Linked DNA regions of Rattus norvegicus. The protein of the gene in region 6 purifies or fractionates together with the protein of the main gene of each other region. This does not show direct contact. Links are inferred from orthologs where the notes say so. Each region holds a gene or a part of one and is shown on either strand. Other genes may lie near its edges.

Region 1 (3,955 bases), on a different chromosome or scaffold from region 6:
TATACGATCTGTGTGGCCTCTTATTTTGGGCCTCCTTTCCCTTATTTAAAGAATGCTGTTTAGAATATTAAACAGTAGTTTCATTGCCATTCATTCAGTAAGACTCGGTATCCAACATTTGCTTTTGGTGTTTTGAGAGGTCTTTTATGTAACCCTGGCTGTTCTGGAACATGCTGTGTAACCAGGCTGACCTTAAACTCGGCTGTTTGCCTCTACCTCCCAGATGCTAGGACCAGAGAGCATGAGCGGGGTTTTTGGGGTGTGTGTGTGTGTGTGTGTGTGTGTGTGTGTGTGTGTGTGTGTGTGTGTGTGTGAAATTCGGTTGGTTAAATTTTGTTTTTGTTTCTTGGGTTGGGTTTTGGATTTTGTTGGTTTTGTTTTGTGTGTGTGTGTTTCTAATGTCCTTGAGAGTTTTGCCTGCATGTCTGCACTACGTTCGTTCATGGTGTTGGTAAAAGTCAAAAGAGGGTGTCTGCTGCCCTGGAACTGGAGGTAGATGGTTGTGAGAAGGCGTGTGGATGCTGGCAATAGAACTCCAGGCCTCTGTAAGAGCAACAGTGCTCTTAACCACTGAGCCCTGTCTCCAGCCTGTTATCCCTGATTCTCAACCTAAATGTGATGATGAAAGCCATCTATTCCTGCTCCCCCCCCCCCAAAAAAAAACGATGGTCCATTAAAACCGGTACACGAATTGTTAGGGGGTGCAGAGGTTTCCAGCATAAATCCTTCATCCTGTTCTTGGGATTCTGGGTCTAATGTGAGGCCTGGATGCCCACTCCACAGCAGCTGCATGCAGGTCAGTCTGAGCTTTTCAGAACTAGGCGGTTTCAGAAGACCGCTAAGTGATCTTTGTTGGGATGAGACCTGAGCGTATTCCACGAAGTAACAAAGTGTGGCTTGGGTTGAGAAAAGCAGGTGAATTGGGGAGAACGGGCAGCAAGGGAGATTTGATGGCCAGGGTAGAATACAGCTGAGCCAAGGCCTCTCGGGCTGCGCTGGCGGCTCCCAGCAGAGGGCGCGGTGCGGTCCGGCCCGGGTACTGCAGTCCTCCGACGTGGATAGCGCTTCCCGGGCGAGGGCGGGGCTTCCGGCGGCTCGCGAGGTCACACGGTGTCTTGGCCCGGTCGTCCTTCCCTTTGCACGTGTCCACCCCGCGATGCTCCCTCTGCTGCGCTGCGTGCCCCGCGCCCTGGGTGCCGCCGCCACGGGCCTCCGAGCCTCCATCCCGGCCCCGCCGCTTCGGCATTTACTGCAGCCCGCGCCCCGGCCATGCCTCCGGCCCTTCGGTTTGCTCAGCGTACGAGCCGGCTCCGCTCGGCGCTCTGGCCTCCTGCAGCCCCCGGTTCCCTGCGCGTGCGGCTGCGGCGCTCTGCACACGGAAGGTAAGGTTCACGCACCCTAGTCGGAATGCGGCGATCCAGCTCGGAACTGGCCCTCATGATCGCAGGTTCCCCTTCTCGCGTCTTGAAAATGTGGCTTAGCAAAGTCGGTAGGGTCGTGGTTTCAAAGTGTGGTTGTTGGGTCCACGTCTTTTTGGACATGGAAGAGGATAGTTGGAAATTCTTTTGTTTTATACGGGAAGTAATAGTAATGAGTTCATGATGAGAAATAACCATCTCATGATAAGTAATATCAGTTCAGCTCAGTAAATATATCCTGGTGTTTTTATAGAGTGAGGAACGGACGTTTTGAGGCGTGATTTACGCTACAGTCTTAGAACAGCCTTAAGAATAGATTACACGCAGTCCGAGTCAATCGGTTAGAGCAACTACCTTTTCTCACTGTTGATCATTTTGGCCTTTCTTTTAGGAGACAAGGCCTTTGTTGAATTTTTGACTGATGAAATTAAGGAAGAAAAGAAGATCCAGAAGCATAAGTCCCTTCCCAAAATGTCTGGAGATTGGGAGCTGGAAGTGAACGGCACGGAGGCTAAATTATTGCGCAAAGTTGCCGGAGAAAAGTAAGTACTGGCCCAGGGGTTGTATACTGGATTCTCAAGTCAGAAGTTCCTGGTTACAGCATCCTGTTCTGACCATCCCCAGAAGAGCCTGAGCTTAGGCCCAATGCTTTGATAAAATGGCTTTAAGAAAGCATTAAACTTGGGAAAGTTCTTAGGTTCCAGGGAGTGCATTCACTGAATGAATACAAGCTTCTATGGCTTGTATTAAGGAGACCTGAAGCAGCTCCAGAGTATGTAGAGGGAAGCCTGTGGGAGGGGCAAACGCAGTTATTGGGTTATTAATGAGGGGTGCTGTGCCAGTCTGGATTAAGCATTGGGTTGTTGTTTTGTTGTTTAATAGTACTGGTAAATCATTTGTTTAGAACTCCCGTCTGGCTTGTGTTTATAATAGTTGAAAGTGCACGTGTGTAACTGTTAAGTCACAGGAAGAAGTTACCATGTAGAAAGGCCATCAGACAAAGGGAGAAGGTTCTTAGCCAAACTTAGCTCTTCCTCTCCTCAAGGGATTCGGTTTGAGACAAGGTCTCTGTGTGGCTGCTGTGTAGCATAGACTGGGCTCAGACTCTGGGTCCTGCTGCTTCAGACACCTGTGTGCTGAGGTTGCAGACATGCGCCACCACACCTGGCACCCCTAAAACCGTTAAACCCTTGTCTGTGCTGTTTCGTGTTACCCATTCACCCACAGTCTTCCTTGGCTAAGTCTACTTGGACTCTTAAGTGCTTCTCTAGCTTGTGTGAGGCTCCAGGATCCATCCCCAGTGCTTCAGGAGCACAGTGTACAAGAAAGTTTTATTGGGGGTGCGGGGGTTTATAAGCTTAGCAGTAAGTGTGTGTGTGTAGATTAGAAAGTTCAAGGCCAGGCTGAGTGTCGGTGGGGCTCACCGCCTTTAATTCTATCACCCTGGGAGGCATAGACAGGTAGATTTCTGTAAGTTCAAAGCCAGCCTGGTCCACCAGCAAGTACTAAGACAGCCAAGGCTACACAAATAAGTCCTGTCTTGAAAAACCAAAATAAGAGAGGGAAGGAGGGAGGGAAGGAAGAAGTAGGTTTAGTCTGGGCTATCGCAGGTTGTACATGCCCTTTGGTTCACCTTGCCATTCTTTTTTCGGGGGCAAAGTGGCAGCAAGGCATTGCCCAGTTGGACTCCAGGGAGCAGCCCCCAGTACACTCTTCTTGGGTTGGTTGGCCCTCTGAATCTGTGTAAGCGGAACTTCTTTTCCAGGTGTTGAGACAAAGGAACTGTCTCTGACTTTAGAACAGGTGCTGTCCATCACATAAGAATTCTTACAGTCACACAAGGGCCAGGGTGCAGCTGTGAACTTCCGCCAAGCATGGGCAGGGTACTTATTTGAGCTCCAGAATCCCCCCAGAAGGGAAAGAAGCCACTAGGTGTTTCAGTTCCTAGTTTGTGGTTGTGCAAAGTGAATCTGCTCTGCAGTGGCTGTGAGGCTTTCCGGGGCAGATGGCTGTCCACCTCCATTAGCTTCCATGGGAAGACCCCAGGACACCAACCTGGCAGCTTCATCCACAGCTGTAGTCATTTAACTTGTAGGTACACTTCAGATGAAATTCTCTTCACTTCCCTGTGTGGCTAGGATGGAGACATTGTTTCAGTGGGCCTTGCTCTCCTGTTACCACTAGGTTAATGTGTACCTTGGTGTATCTCTACCTGCCTTTCTAGGATCACTGTCACTTTCAACATTAACAATAGCATCCCTCCAACCTTTGATGGTGAAGAGGAGCCCTCACAGGGGCAGAAGGCCGAAGAGCAGGAGGTAAGCAGTGACATGGCAGACAGCCAAGATTTCTGTCCCCAAAAGCAAGAACTGTTTCACTTTCACTCTTTTTAAAATCCTCCCTGCTAGGGTGAGGTGAAGGGTGAGCCTCCTGAGACCTGTAATGCAGTCATTCCGAGTGAGTTTTAGCTGGAGTTGTGGATGGACCATGTTTGTAGAGTGTTGTCCCCTAAGGGCTTAGGGTTTATCACGGGCCTG
Region 2 (4,210 bases), about 160 Mb from region 6:
ATCAATGTAATTTGTCAGCCTGGCATGGTCCCAGCACTTGGAAGACAGACTGGCAGATCTGTGAGGCCAAGGCCCAAGAGGACTATATACAGAGTTCCAGGACACCAGGGTTATGTAAAGAGACCTTGTCTCAAAAGTTGTTTTACTGGCTGGAGAGATGGCTCAGTGGTTAAGAGGTCCTGAGTTCAAATCCCAGCAACCACATGGTGGCTCACAACCATGTGTAATAAGATCTCATGCTCTGTTCTGGTGTGTCTGAAGACAGCTACAGTGTATTTATATATAATAAATCTTTTTTAAAAAGTTATTTTAAGGGGCTGGGGATTTAGCTCAGTGGTAGAGCGCTTACCTAGGAAGCGCAAGGCCCTGGGTTCGGTCCCCAGCTCCGAAAAAAAGAACCAAAAAAAAAAAAAAAAGTTATTTTAACTACCTACTCAATTTGAAATGGATGTTACATCTTAAGACTTTTCCTACTTGTATAAATTAGGAGAAAAATATTCCACTTACATATCACCTAACACTGAACATGAAAACTTTATAGCATAGCTATTCCTATGCCTTTCCATCCACACTTTTACCAGCGCCCACATCTGTTAACTCCAGATCCACGCAATCCTGACACCTGTGGCTTCATATTTTCTAACTATTAACTTTTTTCCTAAACAATTGACTTTTAAAAGTCAGAAAGGAAAAAAAAAAAAGTCAGAAAGGCGGGGCTGGAGAATTGGCTCAATTCCCAGCACCCACATGGTAGCTCTCTACTGTCTGAACTCCAGAATCTAACACATCACACACATTTACATGCAGGCAAACCACCAACGTGCATGAGAGAATACATAAGCAAACAAAGGTTCCAGGTGTGGTGGCATATGCCTTAAATTCTAGCATGTGGGAAGGAGAGACAAGTAGAGATGAGTTTAAGTCTACACAGTGAGCCCCAGGACAGCCATAACTATATATTGAGACCCCATGTCTTAAGAAGGAAGGGTGGGGGGGTTGGGGATTTAGCTCAGTGGTAGACCACTTGCCTAGCCTGGGTTCGGTCCCCAGCTCCGAAAAAAAGGAAAAAAAGAAGGAAGGGCGGGGAGGAGTAAGGGGCACTGGAAGAAGGTCCATCGGCTAAGACCATTCAGGAACAGGTGGGCATGTATCATCAGATCACATGCCAGGCTGCCCTGGCTCAAAGAACTCTCTTATGTGGTCTGGTGGCCTGTAACCCAAGATTCCCAGGATCTAAGGCAGGAAGATCATAAGGCCAAGGCCAGGTCAAAAATGGCCACAGAAACAGGAGGGGACCAGGCAGTTATGATGGTGCAGCCTTTAATTCCAACGCTGAGGAATCAGAGGCAGGGGCATCTCTGGGAGGCCAGTCTACTCTGCATATGAGTTCCAGGCTAGCCAGGGTTACACGATGAGACATAGAAAATAGAAATAGAAATAAAGCAGAAGAAACCTAAATTGTCAGTTATGCTATCACCCTGAAAAAAAAAAGACCGTAAGTCTACACAGTCTTTCAAGGTGTTTCCATGAACACTACAGCTTTTCTTAAGATGCAGACGAGACATTTCACATTCCTTCACTTAATTTTGCTCTTACATGGATTTGAAGTGACACAATAGCTGTCACTCATCCCATGGTCCCTGTGTGTCTACAATGAGATTACTGGCTTGTGTATTTTTCGCTTGGTGAATCTCATTCACTCAAAAGCTGTAAATAGGGCTGAGCACACCTTTTTATCCCTGCTTTTGGTAGGCAGAGTGAGAGCTGAGTTCAAGGACAATCTGGTCTACAAAGTGAGTTGCAAGACAGCCAAGGCTACACAAAGAGAAACTCTTGTCTTGACAACAAAAACCAAAATGGCATCCTGCTATGTTCAGGCATGCTTAGGATGAGGAGGCTGAGGCAAGAGGGACAGAAGTTTACATCCATCTTCCACTCTACAAGGACTTTTATACACAATATAAAGGGTTGAACTTTGTTTTAAATAAAAGGATGCCCAGGATCATCAATGTAGAAAGTGGTGGATCTGGCCTAAGCCTCCATTTGCTTTATATCACTACCTGAAGCTCCAAGCCCAGTGCCAACTTGACAGGGAAAGATGCTCACGCTTTCTATGGTATACTGAAAGCAGCCTATCCCTGCACTCATTCATTAAGTAACTAAATAAATAATGATATCCTAGTTTTCATTGCTACGCAGTTTATCCCTGCACTCACTCATTTTTTAAAGTGTATAAATAAATAGGATCCTAGCCTTCACTAGTAACAATTTATCTTTGAGTCTCAGGTAAAACTGCAACCAAGTGTAAGTCCAACAAAAAGTACAGCAGAAGCAGGCACCGCCAAACCAATGCTCCGGGAGGGATCTATCGCCACATGTCCTAGGTCACGAGGGACCCATGCCTGCCACCACTGCAAAACTCACCAAAAGCCGTAAGATTCGGAGCTAGTCAGACGTGATGGAAAGAGATGCCGAGACCTTAAGCCTCAGAAAGGTCGGCAGAGAGGCTTCACAGACATTAGACTGACAGACCCCAGACCTCGATTTCTTGACTTCTAAACCTGACAAGGCCTAGACTACCTTGGAGAGTCGTCCCACCCCGGCCCGCAAACCAAACCAAGGACTCACAGCGCCTGTCGCTTTTGCAAATTTACTGGCCACCTCTGAGAGCTGGTTATCTCGCAGAAAGCCGAGCACAAGGGGATAAAGGTCGCTGGGAACCACGCGGCGCAAGCCGGTATCCGCCATACTCCGGGTTAAACGCGTCACTACCGTTGCGCACGCGGTACGACTGAAGAACTCCAGAGCACAGCCAGGGTAGAGGGCGGGCCCAGTGTCGTCATCACGTCGCGCGGCGCGCAGCGGAAGAATGGCCCCCACGAGGCAGGGCTCCCTCCGCCCCGGAGGCAGGACGCATGCGAAATCTATAAGTTCCTTCCGGTCTCACACGCGTCGTCATCCTGTAAAGGGCGGAGCCCACTAGCCTTCCCCCCCAAGGAGGCGGAGCTTTACGTCAGAGGTCACGCTCCCGTCCGAGGCGGGAAAACTTGCAACTTCCCGCGCATTATCTCTGCTGAATGGACTTCTATCTATAGAAACGTAGTTTCCAAGCCCCGGCTGCTATTCAGACCCCACGATAATCAAAGGAATGGAGAACTCGAGTCTCTTTCACCTTTCTAGAGGTGTCGTCTACTGCTCAAGCTCCCACCAACAATGACTTCTTCACATCCTTCACACCCAGTGAGACTCAAATCATAAGGCAATCCTAAAAGTTGTGGTGACAAAGGTGTTAGTATCCCACATTGACTGTCAGTCACAGCTAGGTTTAAAGACTGTTATCCCAACCATACACAACTCGAAAAGGGGGAGGAGAGCACGGGTTCATTCCAGAGAAAAGATCAAGGGACTCAATAACCCTTTCTTCCTTAAGTCAGAAGTCACACTGAATTCTGAAAACTCCACTATCAGCTATTTTCCAGGTCACATTAGTTATCCCTCACGAAACAATAAAGATGCACTTCCTGTGAACACCTTTTACTTTCCTCAAAACAGTCGCTCCTTCTAAAAAGAAATGTTATCCTATTTCCCAGAGGAGGTGCTTCTATCCATCCATCCATATTAATTTTTTTAAAAAAATCCACGCGCCAGGACGGTGATCAAATTAAATTGGTGAGCTTACCTGAAACACTTAATAGACACAAACCCCAGTTGAGAAAACTTTTATTCTCATAGGCTTGGTGGCAAATGCCTTGAAACCCAGGGTTGAGAGACAAAAGTAGGTAGATCTGAGGAGAGAGGGAGAGGAGGGTGGGGCAAAGGAGGAGGAAGAGGAGTTCTTTTGAGTTTGAAATACTATAATCCCAACACTTTGAAGGCAGAAGCAGTTATCCCTTGAGTGAGATCCAGGATAGTCAGGTTTATACAGAAAAACCCTGGCTTCAGAAGACAAACAACAACAACAACAAAAAAAAAAAAAAAAAAAAAACCAACCCCAAAACTGTATCTTCTCCATCCCACAAGTGTCTGTATTCTAAAATATCTCCATGCACAGGCTGTCACTGTAAGAGAGTAGGCAGGAGAACTGGGGTTTCAGTCCAGTCTGAACAACTCTACAGAACCCAGAAAGGGATTGGTGTAAATGTTAACCCATAAATACCTGAGTGTTCAGATACATGACAAGGCTGTACAAGCAGGGTGCAGTGGCTCCCTC
Region 3 (3,500 bases), on a different chromosome or scaffold from region 6:
CCAAGCAGAGGGCGCCTTGGGTGTACTTTATAAACAGCAATTTGGTCACACAACTCCTGCTTTAACTTTCCAGCCTGCTCTTCATCCAACTTTTCTTCTCTGTCCTTACTTTGCTTTTCCTCGACTAAGGAAGAAGGCCCTTCACCAGCATCATCATCACAGAAGAGCCCTGCCTGGGCTGAGGCAGCAGAAGCGCCAGCCTTGGCTGTGGCCTGGACCCCAGAGTCACTGGGCTGTGCTTCAGTCTCAATTGTGGCCTCTTCAGGCAATACTCCAGACTTCGCTCCATCCTTGCAAGGTGAGCCACGATGGGCTGCAGCTCCTAACCTCGGTGGCACTCCAGCGCTACTTGGGATGGGTGGAGCCTTCATCTTATGCCACTGCAACACTGAGTGAATCATCGGGATGGCAAAAGCCAGCGTTTTCCCGCTTCCTGAGAAGTAAAGCAAGACCAACAGAAATCCATGATGCGCAAGTCATTGTTTGAAGTTCCTGCCTTTGCATAGAAATAAGGAAACCTCAAAGAGTCACGTGCCTCCCTGACTGACCCAAAGCACCAGCACTCTACACAGGTCCTCCAGCACAGGGATAGCACGCATGGTGCAGTGTGAAGTCACCAGAGACACCAAAGTGAGGAAACCATAAAAGCCTGAAGGGTCAGTCTTGTCCTGTGGAGAATCTGTACAGCACATATCCCTAAGACCCTTTTCAGTGAAGGAAGGAATAAAATAAATCACTCTTTTCAGAAATCTAAACATGTTTGACTTTATGCGTGAGTGTTTTCAAACTGACCTCTGAAGGCATAATGGAGCCCATAACACCTAAGGGTCAACCCAGGAATTAGAAGTAGAGATTTTCTCCTTAACTCATTTTACTTTCTGCATTTCAGCTACTCATGGTCACTTATGGTCCAAGAAGTTATTAAACTGATAATCCCATAAATAAGGATTTCAAAAGTTTTAAGCCATATATCACTCCAAATAGTAAGGGGACTCGAACACTGCCTGGCGCCATCTACACAAGACAGGAGTCTTCCTTCTGTCCCACTATAAATGTTACCCACCCATGAATATTATCAGACTATGCGCCCTGCTTATGTTCAGGTAGCTCTTACTTTATCTACTGGTCCTACCACCTGAGAGTAGTTACCCCAATGAGCAACTCAGACAGGCTAGAGCTAGAAGCTGTAAAGTGTTTTTCTCGAAATTCTCGAACTTAGAGAAAAAAAAGTCATGAATTGGTTACTAAGATCTACAATATGAATGAATGTTCTTTCCATGAAATTGTAAAGAAGTTTATGTTAGTTTTGCTGTTATATCAATCTGCAGAAAGTATGACCATGGAGCATGAATGCTCAAGATATAAACACATTCAATCTATAAATGTTCAGGGGAAACAATACAAACAGGGTTCAGCAGTATCTATCTCATCTGTGTTTGGGGGATCTTCTAGGGGACCTGAAAGGTGTCCTTCCTGGATACTGAAGTTGCCAGGTAAGAATGCCCCAGACAAAGTCAATGCACCAGCTCTGGAAGAAAAACAGTCCCAGCCATTAGCTTCGGAGAGCTCCGATGGGGACGGGCCAAATGGGCCAGTGAGACGGCTCAGCTCAGCCGGTGCCACTTAAGTCTGAGCACCTGAGGCCACTCCCAAGATCTACATGGTGGGAGTTATGAACTGACTCCCACAAGTTGTCCTCTGGCCTCTATAAACAGGCCTTGGCTTGCACAAACTTATACATCAATGTATACACATACAGAAATAAATGTTTTTTAAAACTTTGAAAAAAGGGAGAAAAAACTTTTATGAAGTTTTCAAAGAAAATGACAGTTCTAAGTGAAAAATAACCAAACAAGCAAAGCATTAGAAGAAAGAGCTCAAACAAACAAACAAAAAACCACAAAACACCTGGAAAATTTAAGGGAAAAAAAGACAGTAAAAGCCGAAACATAACAGCATCCGTATTTAACAATCTCAGAAAAGTAAAACTGACAATCAGAACTATCTAGAAAAAATTCCTTTAAGACAAAATACAAAACAAAGGCTACTTTTGTGCTATAAAGAATGCAAGCCGAAGTCTTCCAGGCAGACAAAAGATGGTGGTTTAGGAAAAATATCATTCAGCCATGGAAATATCCATCCACATAGGAACTGAAGTGTATCAGAAGTTACAAAAACAAAAGAAACTGTTTTCTTTTTAAACCTCTTTAAAAAAAATTGCTTACAGCAAAACAGTAAAAGCATATTTTAGAATTTCCATCACAAAAACAGAAATACAAAACAAAAAGCACCAAGGAAGGGGAGATGGAAATTAGCCCTTGAGAGGTTCTCATGCCACACATGAGGCACTGTATCACTCGAGGGTAAACTACAGTAGATGCATATGTACAACTTGTGACGTAGTCTGTGACCCTAAAGCAAACACTGAAAGACACAGCAAAGGCCTGGCTACAAGAGAGGAGCCAGACAGTGCCTTGAGTGTATACTGGGTCTCATTCGCAGTTCTGAAATGAAACCCTTGGCACTTTTTGATATGTATATTTAGTTGTGGTATTTAGTTTTCCTCTACATTCCTGGTGTAAGACACAGACGCTCAAAAGGGTCTTTTTGTAAATTAATTAGACTGTGAGCTAAAGACTAATTGTCTCCAGAAAACTGCAAGATAGGAACTGGTGGCTGCAGGGCTGGAATTTCTGCCCGCATGCATGCACACACGCGCGCATGCACGTACAGACACACAGACACACACACACACACACCCCTCCTGACCACCAGAGAGAGGGACTGAAGATCAATCTCCAAAGATGGAGGTTTTTATCAATCATGCTCATATAATGGAAGCCCTATAACACTACAAACAATTTAAAAAGCTTCCAGGCTCGAGACTGCATAAAAAGGTGACATGCCCAGAATGGGTGCACAGAAGCCCTTTGCCCTCTTACTAGCCTCAATGTTTAGCCCTGTCAATCTCTACCAGGCTATTCCCAAGTTATATAGCCTTTAAGCCTGTAAACACTTCTCCATGAAGTCTGGGAGTCATTGAGAAAAGTATTAAACCCTTGGGGGTGGGGGTAACATGGGCTCCTTAATCTGAAGCTGAATAAATCAGGACTAGGGGATGCTCAATAAGGAAGTAGTCTTGTTAAGACTCGGAACAGAGCTTACAGGGGAATGACTTTCATTCCAGGTATGTCAGAAGAGAGCTGCACTATAGGACATCTGACTCCAGTTGAGGTAGAGAAATAGTTGGCTTGGTAAAACCTCAAGAGAACCTGTTCTATCAGAAGTGCATTGTAGTTACAAACATCTTGTTTTCTGTTGTTTTGAGACTGGGTCTACATCTCCCTGGCTGGATTGGAACTTGTTCTGTAGACCAGGTTGACTTCAAACTCACAGACCCTTCTGCTTCTTAAAGGCACTAACCTTCATGGTTTTTGTTTTCAAAAAGTTCCTAATTCAAGTTGAGTACCACAACCCAAACATCCAAATTCCCAAATGCT
Region 4 (3,500 bases), on a different chromosome or scaffold from region 6:
GCGTCTGTATGCTATCTTCCACATTTCTCTGGTAATCGATCAGAACTGCGATTTTTCTGGTTGCGGCATTAACTACTGCTCATCAGCTATGGGAATCGGCAAGTTCTAAATGGCTAACTGCCTCCCATACTACAGTGACTTTCTCAACTATTTTATTTATAATGGACAGGCGATGATTCAGTTTTTATTGACACTTTATGAACATTTACATTTTCAAAAAATATTTCACGTAGGGCTGATCTCTAGTGTACTGTGTATAAGCATCACCTTTCAATAAAACTGATGGCCAATAGGCTGAGGCAGGATTGGAAAGGGAGACATCTCAGAGGAACCCTGGGAAACGGTTTTGCCACCTGCAGGACTTGGGGTAACATACGAGCCATGCGGCAGACACAGATTGGTGTAAACGAGTTAGCTGAGTTATGTGCTAGTCCAGGGCGAAGCCTAGCTTTAGGCCTAAGCCTTTAGAAATAAGGAATAAGCCTCTGAGTTGTTATTAACTAGGACGTAGGTGGAAGAGTCTTCGCTACATTATTATTACTTGTGAGTGCTTTGCCCTCATGTATGTCTGTCCATGGTGTGTGTGCCACATTTCCATGTTTTTAAATGTCAGAGAAAGCAAAGAGCAGTAGCCAGTGGTTAGGAGGCTGCTTCAGCATAGAAGGAATAGCAGAACCCTTGCCATGTTCAGAAATGAAGTTACACTTAGCTGGAGGGAAGAAAATACTACCCTCCCTTTCTATCAGAAAGAACCTGCATTTCTCAGAAGGAACTTTCTTTGGGAAAAAAAAATGATGGGCAAGTGTTTCTGTTCTCACTACCTACTAAACCTTTAAATGGCTCTTCAGTACCTCCAGTGAACGTTTTCTATTTTCCCCAGTCGTTCTCCTAATAAATTCCCATGTACTTTCTATAGCACTCACTCTTTTACAAATTACACAGGTGGCATAGAATCACTTAACTCCTCAATAGATCAAGACCTCTCAATATAAAAACCAGTGTCAGTCTCTGAGACTAAATTGTCTTTTAAGATCATGGAGGTAGGGAAGGACACGGACCTGAAGCCACGGCTCACTGGCTGCTCTTCCAGAGGTCTGAGGATCAATTCTCAGAAATCCCCTTTCCTTAACCTCAGTGTAATGAAATATGATTTTCTCTTATGCATGAAAACAGAGCAATAATTATACATTAAACAAATAAGCAAGCAAATCAGAGAAGGAAAATTCAATGAAGAATTCAAGTTTTCACTGCTAATTAATTATAAGTTTCTGTATTAGGTATATCTTCATCAGTTGCTCTTTTTAATGATGTCCATACTTCTGTTACCCTGCATAAGTTGCTACAAATACAAGTTAAATCTGAAATTAGAACACAGATGGTCATATGTGCACAACTGAGTGATACTCCACAGGCAATGAACCATCATTCCTCGAAAGAAGTCAACATCATGCTGCAGGGGTAACTCTGTGGTAAAGTACCTGCCTGGCTCAAGAGAAGTCTTGGGTATGAGAGTCCGGGGAGCTACTACAGATTACAGGAAGCTAAGAAAACACAACAGCTAAACGCACATCACACTACTTTATGAAAACATGAGTTACAGAGATAATTTACTATCATTGGTTAACCTTCCCATACAAGGGACTGGTCCCAGGTCTTATTGCTATTACCATTGTTGTTGTTATTATTATTATTTATTATTACAGCAAAAACCATTTTTCTTAGAAAATACATACTAAATAACTGGGAGTGGCATGATCTATGTGACTGGATCAGAAAAAGACAACACACATAGAATCAAATTATAAATGTTGGAAATAGCTGAATCCAGGTAAAAATGGTATGAAAATTTTTACAATTTTTCTGTAAATCTACAGTGGCTTCTAAATAAAGCTAAACAATACATCTATATTTTATTTACCTTTGTCCAATTTGATCCCATCATCAAAGCGAGAGAAAAGCCTGTATCTCTGGGCCCAGTATTTTGCCAGCTCCGGAACAGAAGCTATTTCAGGTGGTAGGCCATTTATCTTTTTGTTCTTGTTCTTCTTCTTCTTCTTCTTTTTCTTCTTTATTTCTACTAAAATAGAATGTAATACAGCTGCTGACCATGAAAAGAGAATGGAACTAGGGAACTCGTAAACAGCAGCTATGTCAAATAATCACATCTTGGACTGTAGCAGACCACACGTGCAGTGACACATGCAGAGAATCAGAGCAAAACAGAGCACTACTGCTTCAGATTACAGCCCGACTGCCATTTATTGGCTTGAGAAAACTGCCTGTGTGGACACTGATCTCTGCCGCCACACTGGCCCTGGCATTTATTGGCTAATTTCTTTTTTCTTTTCATTCCTCTCCCTTTCCCTCCCTCCCTGCCTCCCTCTCCCTGCCCTCTCTCTCTCATGATTTCTTTTTATTTATGTGCACTGGTGATTTGCCTGTATGTATATCTGTGGGACAGCATTGGAACCCCCAAACTGGAGTTACAGACAGTTACAGGCTGCCAGGTGGGTGCTGATTGAACCCATTCCTCTGGACAAGCAGCCATCTTACTGGAGCCTTCTCTCCAGACCTGTAAGCTTTAATTTTACTCCTACAAAAGGAACAGATGAGGAATGCACAGTACTTTACTAATTTCATTTACAGCAGTGATGGGAGGTAAGGACTAAACATCTGAAATCTTCCAAAACCAGAATCCTACAACACATCTGGTCCCCACTGTATCAGACACAGGATATCCAACCTGTATACCAAAAGCACTAATACAGGTCTAAAAATTGTCGACAGCCACATTGTTTTAGTGGGTGAATTACAGAAATGTAAATGTTTTTCTTTACTTTTTTTGTTATTACATTCCTGGAATTGAACTTAGTGCCCGGCGGTAGACAAACATATGCATGCAAGCATCCATCCATTGACAGGGTTGGGTAATTTAATTTGTCCAGGCTAGTGTTGAACTTGTGGTCCTCCTGCTTTTAGACTCCTGAGAAGCTGAGGTTGAAGGTGTGTTAGCAGGGTCACATTTCATTTTAAGACAACATCTTTCCAAGGCCCATTAAGCTTTAGCCCTGGCCATATAACACAAGGTGTCTCAGAAGTATGGTGAGTCAACATTTAGAAAAACACATTATTAATTGATTATCAGGTTCAAGTCTCCGGAAGATTAGAAGCATCTATGCAGCACTACTTGTAGATGAAGAGAGTTGCCAGAGTACAAACAAGATTGCAGTAGACAGAGAATAAAGCCCTCTCACATTCAGATGTTCTAAGGTTAGGACTATCAGGTCATTGCAAATAGCCAAAAGTGTTGAGGGAAAAGTACTGCTGTCACCCACCTCAGCGCCCAAGCAGCACATGAATGTCAGCTCTTCTAACACTGGCAATGAAAGACCATAGAACACTTGAAGTCTACAGTGTAACAAGGCAGGAGATAGGTGACAGGAGACTTAGGTACATGTGTGCCTACCCAAAGGAAAGGTGTCAACTAAACCAAGCATGTT
Region 5 (4,165 bases), on a different chromosome or scaffold from region 6:
AGAACTCTCGAGCCAGGAGTCCAAGGCAGCTGCACCCTCTATCACAAGCCTGCAGACATCCGGTCTGCTACCCGCTGTTTCTCAGCACCCTTGCCCAGGACTTCCACCAGAAGGGATTTTAAAACCTGTGAGGAACAACAGTGTCCTGGAGCATGTCCCAGTACTCAGGAGGCCGAGGAAGGCAGATCTCTCTGAGTTTGAGGCCAGCCTGGTCTACATAGCAAGTTCCAGGATAGCCAGAGCTACAAAGTCCCTGCCTTTAAAAAAAAAAAAAATAGGGGTTGGGGATTTAGCTCAGTGGTAGAGTGCTTGCCTAAGAAGCACAAGGCCCTGGGTTCGGTCCCCAGCTCCGAAAAAAAGAACCAAAAAAAAAAAATAAATAAATAATGTCTGAGGAAGAATAAGGCCAGAGTTATTGTCCTTCCTGAATGTGCCCAATCAGACTCTTCTTTAAGGTCACACACCGAAAAGCAGACTGCTGGTTAGAGGTAAGGGGGCTCAGACTTTATAAACAGGATTTAGCAATTCTGTTTTTTTGTTTTGTTTTGTTTCCCAAGACATATTTTCTCCATGTAGCCCTGGCTGGCCTCAAACTCAAGAGATCTGTCCACCTCTGCCTCCAGTTGTTGGGGATTAAAGGTATACACCACCACGCCCAGCATCACCCTTTGTTAAAAAATCCCTTTTGAAAGAAACACTGTCTCAGCCCTGAATTTAATGTGTGTATACATTTATTTTTACTTTTGCCCATGTTAGAAGATCAGCAGAAGAAAATGGGGTGGTGATTCTGTAGTTAATTAAAATACTGAAGAGTGGGTAAAGATTGGTCAGGAAAAAAATGGCTGATCGGCTAAGAGCTCTTGCTGCTCTTACAGTCCCAGCATCCCTCAGGTGCTGTCACAACCACCTGACATGACAGTTTCAGGGGATCCAATGTCTCAGGTCTTCCCTGGGCATCAGCATGTAGACAGTGCATACAAACTCGCACACACGCGCACAAATAAAAACAAACAGAAACCAAAGTGTTTAGCACAGGTCCTGGAGGCAGAAACAGGCAGATGTCTTTGAGGTTGAGGCCAGTCTGATCTATACAGCTAATTTCAGGACAGCCATGGCTACATGGAAAGTCCTTGCCTCAAAAAAAGTTTCTATGAGCAAGTTAAGACAACACATATTCGGGCTGGAGAGATGGCTTAGCGGTTAAGAGCACTTACTGCTCTTCCAGAGGTCCTGAGTTCAAATCCCAGCAACCACATGGTGGCTCACAGCCATCTGTAATGAGATCTGATACCCTCTTCTGGTGTGTCTGAAGATAGCTACAGTGTACTCATATAAATAAATAAATAATAATAATAAAAAAGGCAACACATATTCACTTTTAGAAGCAGAATTGATAGCCAGGTCTGTCTGTAATCCTGGTACTCAGGAGGCAGAAGCAGGCAGAGCTCTTGAGTTCAAGGCTAGCCTGGTCTACAGAGTGAGTTTCAGGATAGCTGCTACAGAGAAATCCCATCTGGGGGTATACTACAGAATTACTAAATCCTTTTTATACAGAAAGTTTCAGGATTCCCGGGACTAAGAATCTCCACCCCAGGTATAACACCCTATCCTTGGAAACCCTGTAGCCATCGCATGACTAGCTGAATGAGGAAGACTTCAAACCTCCCTCAACTCCATATGCAAGTCACCTGCCCGCTCATCTTTTCAGCCTCCCACCCTGGCACACTAACACCCCAGACTTGTCACGGATCCCTGAACCTCTTCCCTACCGCTCCACCACACTCCTCATCTCTCCAGGCTCAACTTTTAAAAAGGCTTCTTCCGTTCTCACAACACATGCCTCCAAGACACACGCCTCCCTACACCGCCTCTCTCCACTTGCCTGCTCCCCTGTGTTCCTAACGGTGAAACAAGTCCCTAATGTTAGAAAGGCTACATGTGTGACAATACACTCTCTAGCTTTAATTCTTCAGAAAGCTGAAGCTGTAGGATCATTTGGACAAAACTCATCTCAAATGGAGTCCAAGGACTCCAGTCATGTGGTGCTGTGTGAAAACTAAGATGTGTTCTGTACACTTTACCCCTTGCCTCTCAATCAATCCAGCCCTGTGCCTGCCTCCATGTCATGAAGCCAAAAAAGGTCTCAGGCTCTCCCTCCCCCAGGGGCCCAGGGTCCTTCCCATAGACTCGCATCAGAGATAAACGACATTTCACTGCCAGAAATTGAAGGAAAGACCCAGGATCTCGAGCCAAACACCCAGCTCTGTTACCAGTCGCACCGAGTTTTTTAGTCACCATGAGCCTCAGTTTATCCTTTCTCTCGGTAGAAAACAACTCACCTCTCACTCTCAGAATCGCTGGAAATCTCCTCATTCATTTTGCCGCCACCTTTGGACTTGCCTCTGCTTGCAGCAGAGTCTACCTGGAAATACAACATCCTTTCTTGGTCAAGAGCCCCGGGACTGAGAAAGGAACCTGGCACCTAGCCCTGGCCAAGCAGAAGGTTTTCCAGGATTTGGTGGGTGGAAGAAAAGAGATGGAGGCTCCCTTCTGAAAGAGCCCTTGGAGAAGATACACACATGCTCCGATGGGGGCCCTGGGATGGAATGATGGCTGTCCCAGTAACTAGATCAGTCGCGCCCAGGAAAACTCCATGCTCACCTTTCGCCGCCGCTTGCCGTCCACCGGGGCCGCCCCGGGCCCGGGAGCTGGCTTTGCCCGTTTACGAGTTGCCACGGCGGTCGACATACTGTTCATCAAGGTGCCGCAGCCTCTACTGAAGAACTCACATGGCTGCTAAACCCCGGCCACATGGCAAGACCCGAAACACTGATAGGGTCCCACGGCGAGGCGGGCCCCGCCTTCCGCAGCTCCATTGGACCCTTTAGAAGATCCTGTCACGCCTCCAATCGTCTATTGGACCGGTTCAGTTAGCCACGCCTCCAAGAACTCCTATAGGCTCCGTCGCCAGCCTGGAGTAGGAAGCAAGTCTCTCCTGCTGTTTCCGGCCTGGACCTGTGGCGCTTGCGCTCTGCTAACTCCCTGCTTCCAGGGAGGGGTGGGGCCAGGAGGGCATGCCTGTGCTTGCATATTATGGCCACAAGGGGGAGCTAGAGGTGCGGGGTTCTGTGATTTCCCCCACCCCCCGCCGCCCCCGCTGGGGCGGCGATAAAGCTAACCCAGCCAGGCATTTAAAACATAGGGAATGGATTTCCGGCAGCTCTGGAGAGGAGACAGTATCTGAACCCAGAGCCAAACTCACTGGGCAAATAACATGCTGCGTGTGCCTAATCAAAGCTACATGAGGGGCGAGTCAGTCCCTGCGGCTTTCGATATGTCTAGATTAGTGTCTTCTCATCTGTAGGACCGGTCACCAACCTCGGCCTACCCAGCCTCTGACTCACCCCACTAGCGGCCAAATAACTGGAATTCTACACCACCCCTAAGCTCTTTCCCCTCCTCTGGTGGTTGCTGGGAAATCCCTACCAAAGACAAACCGAAAGCTCACGAAGGGTCACTAGATGGGAGCCCAGACTTGGAACTTGTTTCTTAGGAGGCACACTCAGCATTCCTAATACCAGACAGAATAACAGCCACCTCTTCAAGGTTCCGTTTCTTTTCGGTGAGTGTCCTCTGGCCCTGCCCTGGAGTCCTCCACAGGGCAGGGAAGGGCGGGTTAAAGTGGCTTTTGCTCTCTGGCAGTTAGTTGAAAGCCATTTACCTGAAACCTTGGCTGGCACCCCAGAACTCTAGACTGTTAGCAAAAGGCTTCTTCACCACTTGGTCCTAAGCTCTAGAGAGGTAGATCCGGCTGCAGAGCTACTTATAGAGTCCTTGTCCTATAGTTCAGATGATTCAGCCCTTGCCAGATGACTGACAGAAGGAGGAAATGTTCTAGAAAGGGAGGTGCCCCAGAAGTGGGAGGGGTGAGCCCGCTTTCACTTTTTCTACCACTTCAGGGCACACCTCAAGCAGGAGAGAGTAGGGAGGCAACTTCTCCCTAGCCCCAGGCTGGGCAGAACTGACCGGGGTTCCTTAACCTTGTACTTGCAACTTAGGGAGGAGCATCTCTGAGGTATGAAGCGCAGTTTTGAAGATGGGGATTTGTATACCAAGGAGGAGTAGGAGAAAAAAGGCAAATCTGAACGCTCCCTATCTCCTGCCC
Region 6 (3,300 bases):
TGATGTTAGGTACCACTCCTTCAGGAACTCTAACCATCCTTTTTTTTTCCTTTTTCTTTTTTTTGAAACCCTGTTTTTCCTTTTTCTGTGTAATCCTGGCTGTTCTGGAACTCACTGTGTAGATCAGGCTGGCATTGAACTCAAGAGATCTATTGCCTCTGCCTCTCCAGTGCTGAGACTAAAGGCTAGACCCATCATGTTTTTGAGACAAGGTCTCTCACCGGTGCTGACGGCTCGGCAGGCCAGAGACCACTGGCCTGTTGCTGCATTCTCATGCTGTTCCTATGAGGGTATACTGCCACACTGGTTTTGTTTTTCAAAATGGATTCTGGGTATCAAAATCAGGTACTCATGACAGTGTGGCAAGCACTTTAATGATTGAATCTCCCCTTTTAGCCCTTGGACATAACTTTTTCAACCAAAATAGTCTGGTATCTATATTCCCAGCTCTGGGTTACTTTAATTGACTACACTCTCTGGTTCACAATTACAAGCAGGAGTGGTACTGAAAGAACTCTGCTTCAAGCTGTCCCTCTCACAGAATGAGGGATGAGCCTGGCTTAGGTTCCTCCATCCCCATAACCTGCCCACTCACCGGGCCAACAATGTCAGACACGTGGGAGACGGTGGTGCCTGAGGCTGCCCCAAGGTAGAGCACCTTGGCCCCCGGCTTGATGTGGATCTGGTCTACGCCACCCAGGATTGCTGCGGCCAGCTTGGAGCGGAAGGGGTTCCAGGCTCGGTACTCAATTTTGTCATCTCCTTCCTGAGCCAGGAGAGATGGGGACAGAATCAGTGTTGGATTCTTGTGCAGGGCATCATTCCCTGTAACCCTAGGGCCCTCAAAAGAAAGTGCATTCTAATCACTATGTAAGAACAAAATGCAGATGTACAGCAGGGACCAGGAGAGAAGCCATTCTGCCCTCCCATGGAGACTCGGGGAGGGAATAACATACAGTAAACACGGAAGTGAAAGACAGAACTAAGCACTAGGCACTATGTCCTGTCCTAGCACCAGTTTCAGGTGCTGGACAACAGTGAGTAGAACACATATTCTGCCCTAAGAGGTAAGTACTCTCTGAACTAAGTCACTGAATTAAGTACAAACCGGCACAGGTGACAGGCTATACAGACTAAGCCAGGAGAGGATTTGAAATCAGAACAGAGCAAGGAAAGTGTGAAAAGGGAAACAGACCAGGAAAGGCTGGGGACACTTTTGAGCCACCCACACCACCCCGGGAAGAACACTGCAGACACAGAGTGGGAGATGAACAAGGCAGCCTAGGGATGGCCATAGAGACAAGGACATGGGAGAGCTAGGTTGTGGCAGTGAGGACGGCTCAGACAAGGAGGGCGATGTAAGAGCCTCATCAGAAGGAGCAGGCAGTGTGTGACCAGAGGCAGAGGACAAGGAAACAGTTTAGTATGGAGCTAGAAGACAAGGCCAGGGAATTGGGAGGGGGAGCTGGGATCTGCAGCAGCTCTGAAGCTACAGCCTGCCTGGTCCTCTGTAGGACACAATAGCAAAAAGACTAGACTGTAAGCAATGTTATCAGCTGGGCCTGTACTCTGGACAGGGGTCCGGAACTCACGGAGATAGAGACTCTCTTCTCTCCATACACAGATTCTCCAGGAACCAGATTCTTTGTGACAAGGGCATCCTCCTTTCCGCGACAGATAAAGACTCCTTCATGCCGATGGGGCTCCACCATCACATTCTTCCCTGACTGGTTTCCTCTCTTGCCTCCCCGGCCACCACCTCGACCCCGGCCGCCCCCAGACTGGAAGCCTCCACCTGTAAGAGAGAGCTGCAGTAGGAGAGGGAGGCCCCCACGTCTTCCCTTCCTATGTCCTTTGAGAACCTGCTCTAGCCCCCCATGTCTACCTCGCTCACCTCGTCCACCTCCACCTCCTCGTCCCCTGAAGCCACCGCCTCCTCCACCTCGACCTCGACCTCCACCGCCAAAGCCTCCTCGTCCACCGCCAAAACCTCCTCTCCCTCCTCGGCCTCCTCCTCTACCACCTCTGTCACCAAAGCCGCCTCTGCCACCAAAGCCGCCCCCACGGGGGCTGAAACCTGTAACAGACGGAAACAGGGGTCAGGGCAACGGAGCATAAGAAGTTAAAGGACCCTTACCCGTCAGGTCCACAAACGTTAGACGTTGGCAAAGCATAGGGCTCGGGGCTCAGGGTGATGTCTACCATAGCCGGAACACAGTAATCAACAATGACAGTGATCATCAGTCCTACAGCACAGAGGGGTAAACGTGAACCTCCCAGAAGGGAAGAAACAAATCCCAGAAAACTAAACCCAATCAGAGTTTTCTTGAAATATGGTATCAGGTATCCCAGGCTGGCTGTGAAGTCCCCACACAGATCCTGATTCTTCTGTCCCCACCTCCCAAGTACTGTATTACAGGCCTGCATCCCCGCGTCCAGCACCATACCCCTCTTATGAGATGCACCAGCAAGAGGCCACTAAAGGCAGAACATGCTGCAGACTATCTAACCAGGGATGGGCAGAATGCAGATACTCTGGTTTTCTTGGTGGGACAGCTTCACACAACTCATTTTATCCCTCGTATAGGAGCCCCACATGTACATGCTTGATAGCAACAGGATCTGTGATGCCCTCACAGTATCTTCAAGACCTCTCGATAAAAGGGCACCCCCCCTCAGTCTGATGCTAGGTCCTGCTAAATCCATCCCTCCCAGCATAGGGGGGAAATTAACAAAATCCCCAAATTGCCCCTTTAAGGATGAGCAATGGTCTAGATGGGTGGGCTAGATAGAGCACACCAGCATGTCAGCTTGGGCTTAACCCCAGGGGTAGCAGCAGCCTATGCCTGTGACTCTAACACTCGGAGAGGTGGAGGCAGGAGACCACAGTGGGCCTCATGGTGAGACCTTTCTTCAAAAGGAGAACAGCTGGGCTGGGGATGAAGGGCAGCAGTGGAGTGCTCCAGGGCTTGCCCCTTTGCCCCCAGCCAGAGAGCAGCAAGCAGTGCATGGGACTGGGTGATATTTAGCTTTTCTGTGATGGAGGTGGAGCACAGAGTTTATCTGAAAACACAGCTTGAAGATTAGGGGTGGTTCAAAATGATCTCACTTGATTTAAACTGTAAAAACCTGCTCGAGTTTTTGTCTCAGCCCTGTGACTATACCCCATTGACAGCTTCAAACAATTTTTGTTGTTTTTGAAACTTTTATTATCTCTTTTAAAAAAACTTTATGAACATTAGTGTTTTGCCTGCATGTTTATCTGTATGAAGATGTCAAAGAGTTAGAGACAGTGGTGAG
Region 7 (3,500 bases), on a different chromosome or scaffold from region 6:
AATCACTATCTGTGTTTACTGTTGTTTGATGACAAATTGCCACCTTGGACTTTAAGATGTTTAAAATGTTCATATCTATCATCACAATTTTTCCCACAATAAACCTATAAAGTACAATCAGAGACACAGTCAATCTCCTATTTAAAACAAATAAATACAGAGAATTATGACTTGGATGAGGTGGGTGGTAAGGCAGGCTTTAACACGTTATTTGTAACTGTAGCCTGTTCTTCTCTCGTGTTCAAGGCCAAGCTCATTAAAGCTGGCTTACCTCTCAAGGCCGGAGCTCACTTCTAAAACCAGAGTGAATATGGGAAGTGAGAGAGAGGCTGCAGCCAGGAACACAGAGCTCAGACAGAAATCCCAGACTAGGGATCAACAAACTTTTTCCATAAAGAAACAGAAAGAAAGTATTTTAGGTTTTATGAGCCAAGTGATTCCCTGAGCAATTATTCAATTTTTCCTCTGTAGCATAAAAGCAGCCGCAGATATACAGGAAGAGGGTCTGCCTGTGTTCTGGAAAGGCTTTAAACATGCGGGGGAATACACTGGCAGTCCCTGCTCTAGACCTGTATGTAGCCTCACACAGAAGCATGCATACAGGAGCACGCTAGTGCAGGATAGCCTTGTCTGCCTGCCTCTTGGCAGCACTTCAAGCCAAGCTCACACTGTACTGCAGCACATCATGTCCCAACAGCACCCCATGAACAGTCAGAACACTCTGCCACCTCGGCTTAACCTCCCCTCCCTCTCTCACCACGTTGGGCCTCTGAGTACAAAATTTACATTTCAGGATTTTCTCTTATAAAAATTAACATGGTAACTTCCTATTAACACTGAGGCAAAAGAAAAAGCATCTTGACTGAGTCTTCTGGACAATAAGGGTCATTATTGTTATGTGTTCAAAAAAAGATCAGAGAAAGATCTGGAGCCCAAGGACACATTAGCCCCCAGTTCAGCCCCTCTTCTTAAGTTCACATACAAATATAGCATGCAGTAGCCCACCTCCAAGTCCACTGAGACTAGGAAGAAACTCAGATTGTAAAGCAAAAGAAGAAGACCTAATAACTGTAATTATCATGCAGCCCACAAGTGGTCATGCATATTATTATAAATATGGACAGTATGTTCAATGCTCACTCTCATGACTGCCAAGAGGCTTAAGAAAAGGGAACATCTTCCTCAAAGCACAACGGTACAATCTGATGAAACAAGAGCATGGAAAGCACAGAAAAGTAAAGTTAATGTGAGGCTTAGGCACAAAGACCACACACTCAAGACCCATCTGTGCCATCCAAGGTCTGTCTCAAAATCAAAACCAAAAGGAGCCAAGTATTCATTTGGAGTCTACTCTGATGTGCAGCTGAAATTTCACAGAACACAGATATAACCTGGACAACACATTAAAGCTAGAAAGCCATTAAAGTGTAGAAACAGGGATACAATTTCATGGCAAACAATAATCAGAACACATTATTAAGAAGACCATTACCTCAATAGGGTTAAATTTAACACTACTTATACTGTCAAATCCCCAGTTCATTGAGCACACAGGGCTGGTTCTTTGTTCATCCCAAATGTCTACTTGCTGTCCACACGTGGCAAAGGCCGGGTCTTTCCAGTGATGATCAATGCCAGTATATACTGTCTTTAAAAGCAAAGAGCGTGTTACATAGGCTCATTACTACTTTAAATCAGCATATTTAAATTTTTTAAAGAAATTCTTGCTACAAAGACATTTCCCCCCTCCTCTCCCACCACCTTCTGCCACAACTGTGCAACTGAGTCACCTACATTTGGAAAGTCACAGGGCTGGCATATCCAGAATGCAATAGCTTCACCTTGAAAAAAAGTCTAACTGATCATGGTATTCCCCCTAGAGTAAGTCTAAAGAAATTCTTTTTTTTTTTTCTTTTTTCTTTTTTTTTCGGAGCTGGGTCCCGAACCCAGGGCTTTGCAAGCGCTCTACCACTGAGCTAAATCCCCAACCCCCCCCAACCCCTAAAGAAATTCTTTGAGACCCTTCCTTAAAGGGAAAAAGAGTATCATAAAATGCTAAGGCGTTTTATAAAAATGAAATGGAATTTGCTTTGGAATTACTAATTTGTTACACCTGGGCATTTTCCCATCTTGCACACATTTCCTACCTCCATCTCCCTTTAGGAATATTGATGACTTGTTGAAACCTGAAACATCACCTACATATACACTAGTGTGATAATGAAATAAATGATGGCTTTCAAAGGCACATATCTAAAGAGTAAACCTAACTTCAGGATTTTGTCTGTGTAACGTAAGAATATAAGCAGTCATTACGTAAAACATGCTCTAACCAAACCACTCTTAGGCTCTAACTGACCCAATCTGACTTGGAGAACAATTTGTGAGAAGTCTAAGATTACACAGGAAGCATACACTACTCTGTGTTTCTTTGAGAAATTCTGAGCTTTGTCTAAGATCTATGAAGATATAAACCAGAGAGAAACTAAGCCATTATTTTCCAAACATTTATCTTACGCAGTTTCTTCTGTGGCCTTCCTTTAAGAACTACTTCATTGCATCCCCTATATGACTTGTATGACCTAACACAGCCAGTATTTATTAGCCACCGAGAAGTCAGACTCTGTTACAAAGAACACCAAAGAGATGTTCATATTCTTTAGCTTCAAAGAACTTTAATCACATAAAATGTTGCATTATTATTAAAAACAAACCATCTCAGCTGTTAATTTTTTTCCCTTTTGGAATTACAAAAAGAGATACAGAATTTTAATAGGCCAAGCATCATTCCATGTGTTTGGTACCTTTCCTAACACCGTGTACAAGCATCATTCCATGTGTTTGGTACCTTTCCTAACACTGTGTATAAGCATCATTCCATGTGTTTGGTACCTTTCCTAACACCGTGTACAAGCATCATTCCATGTGTTTGGTACCTTTCCTAACACCGTGTACAAGCATCATTCCATGTGTTCGGTACCTTTCCTAACACCGTGTACAAGCATCATTCCATGTGTTCGGTACCTTTCCTAACACCGTGTACAAGCATCATTCCATGTGTTCGGTACCTTTCCTAACACCGTGTACAAGCATCATTCCATGTGTTCGGTACCTTTCCTAACACTGTGTACAAGCATCATTCCATGTGTTCGGTACCTTTCCTAACACTGTGTACAAGCATCATTCCATGTGTTCGGTACCTTTCCTAACACCGTGTACAACGGTTCCTCCTCCTCTCCGCAGCCTGGTCCATCCATTTTCCACTGCTTCACAGTTTTGTCATCTCCGACCTACACACAGTTATTTTATGATGAGTCTAATGACCAGTAACTGTAAACACAAATATCAAATTGCCAAGTCTCTCATTTCAAATAGTAACATACACCACTCTTTCATTTTCACATTTATCGATGCATTTATTTTCTACTTTGGCATAACAAAAATTTGTAACAAATATATAAAGCACAAAAACCCACAACAAAACAAAAAGCCCAGTATGA

The links.
Region 1: the proteins of Fbl (region 6) and C1qbp purify together in Homo sapiens (affinity purification with mass spectrometry; 4 studies listed by BioGRID and IntAct, counting the BioPlex papers as one, with this or other methods). This does not show direct contact. The link is inferred for Rattus norvegicus from reciprocal best matches to the Homo sapiens genes FBL and C1QBP.
Region 2: the proteins of Fbl (region 6) and Nolc1 fractionate together in Homo sapiens (co-fractionation; 3 studies listed by BioGRID, with this or other methods). This does not show direct contact. The link is inferred for Rattus norvegicus from reciprocal best matches to the Homo sapiens genes FBL and NOLC1.
Region 3: the proteins of Fbl (region 6) and Ddx24 purify together in Homo sapiens (affinity purification with mass spectrometry; 3 studies listed by BioGRID and IntAct, with this or other methods). This does not show direct contact. The link is inferred for Rattus norvegicus from reciprocal best matches to the Homo sapiens genes FBL and DDX24.
Region 4: the proteins of Fbl (region 6) and Tgs1 purify together in Homo sapiens (affinity purification with mass spectrometry; 3 studies listed by BioGRID and IntAct, counting the BioPlex papers as one, with this or other methods). This does not show direct contact. The link is inferred for Rattus norvegicus from reciprocal best matches to the Homo sapiens genes FBL and TGS1.
Region 5: the proteins of Fbl (region 6) and Rrp9 purify together in Homo sapiens (affinity purification with mass spectrometry; 3 studies listed by BioGRID and IntAct, counting the BioPlex papers as one, with this or other methods). This does not show direct contact. The link is inferred for Rattus norvegicus from reciprocal best matches to the Homo sapiens genes FBL and RRP9.
Region 7: the proteins of Fbl (region 6) and Dcaf13 purify together in Homo sapiens (affinity purification with western blotting; 3 studies listed by BioGRID, with this or other methods). This does not show direct contact. The link is inferred for Rattus norvegicus from reciprocal best matches to the Homo sapiens genes FBL and DCAF13.

Annotation. Positions count from the first base shown.
Region 1 is NC_086028.1:56,200,386-56,204,340, reverse strand, and holds the start of C1qbp (complement component 1 Q subcomponent-binding protein, mitochondrial precursor), read left to right. Parts: upstream 1-1,155; 5' UTR 1,156-1,156; coding exon 1,157-1,382; intron 1,383-1,809; coding exon 1,810-1,960; intron 1,961-3,642; coding exon 3,643-3,736; intron 3,737-3,955.
Region 2 is NC_086019.1:254,868,949-254,873,158, reverse strand, and holds the start of Nolc1 (nucleolar and coiled-body phosphoprotein 1), read right to left. Parts: upstream 2,801-4,210; 5' UTR 2,749-2,800; coding exon 2,629-2,748; intron 1-2,628. UniProt on the Homo sapiens protein: Nucleolar protein that acts as a regulator of RNA polymerase I by connecting RNA polymerase I with enzymes responsible for ribosomal processing and modification.
Region 3 is NC_086024.1:128,340,216-128,343,715, forward strand, and holds part of Ddx24 (ATP-dependent RNA helicase DDX24), read right to left. Parts: intron 434-3,500; coding exon 1-433. UniProt on the Homo sapiens protein: ATP-dependent RNA helicase that plays a role in various aspects of RNA metabolism including pre-mRNA splicing and is thereby involved in different biological processes such as cell cycle regulation or innate immunity.
Region 4 is NC_086023.1:21,339,492-21,342,991, reverse strand, and holds part of Tgs1 (trimethylguanosine synthase), read right to left. Parts: intron 2,078-3,500; coding exon 1,919-2,077; intron 1-1,918. UniProt on the Homo sapiens protein: Catalyzes the 2 serial methylation steps for the conversion of the 7-monomethylguanosine (m(7)G) caps of snRNAs and snoRNAs to a 2,2,7-trimethylguanosine (m(2,2,7)G) cap structure.
Region 5 is NC_086026.1:115,994,815-115,998,979, reverse strand, and holds the start of Rrp9 (U3 small nucleolar RNA-interacting protein 2), read right to left. Parts: upstream 2,801-4,165; 5' UTR 2,758-2,800; coding exon 2,662-2,757; intron 2,423-2,661; coding exon 2,340-2,422; intron 1-2,339. UniProt on the Homo sapiens protein: Component of a nucleolar small nuclear ribonucleoprotein particle (snoRNP) thought to participate in the processing and modification of pre-ribosomal RNA (pre-rRNA).
Region 6 is NC_086019.1:92,600,407-92,603,706, reverse strand, and holds part of Fbl (rRNA 2'-O-methyltransferase fibrillarin), read right to left. Parts: intron 2,078-3,300; coding exon 1,895-2,077; intron 1,796-1,894; coding exon 1,593-1,795; intron 767-1,592; coding exon 596-766; intron 1-595.
Region 7 is NC_086025.1:72,055,882-72,059,381, reverse strand, and holds part of Dcaf13 (DDB1- and CUL4-associated factor 13), read right to left. Parts: intron 3,291-3,500; coding exon 3,201-3,290; intron 2,830-3,200; exon of another isoform or gene 2,805-2,829; intron 1,649-2,804; coding exon 1,493-1,648; intron 1-1,492. UniProt on the Homo sapiens protein: Part of the small subunit (SSU) processome, first precursor of the small eukaryotic ribosomal subunit.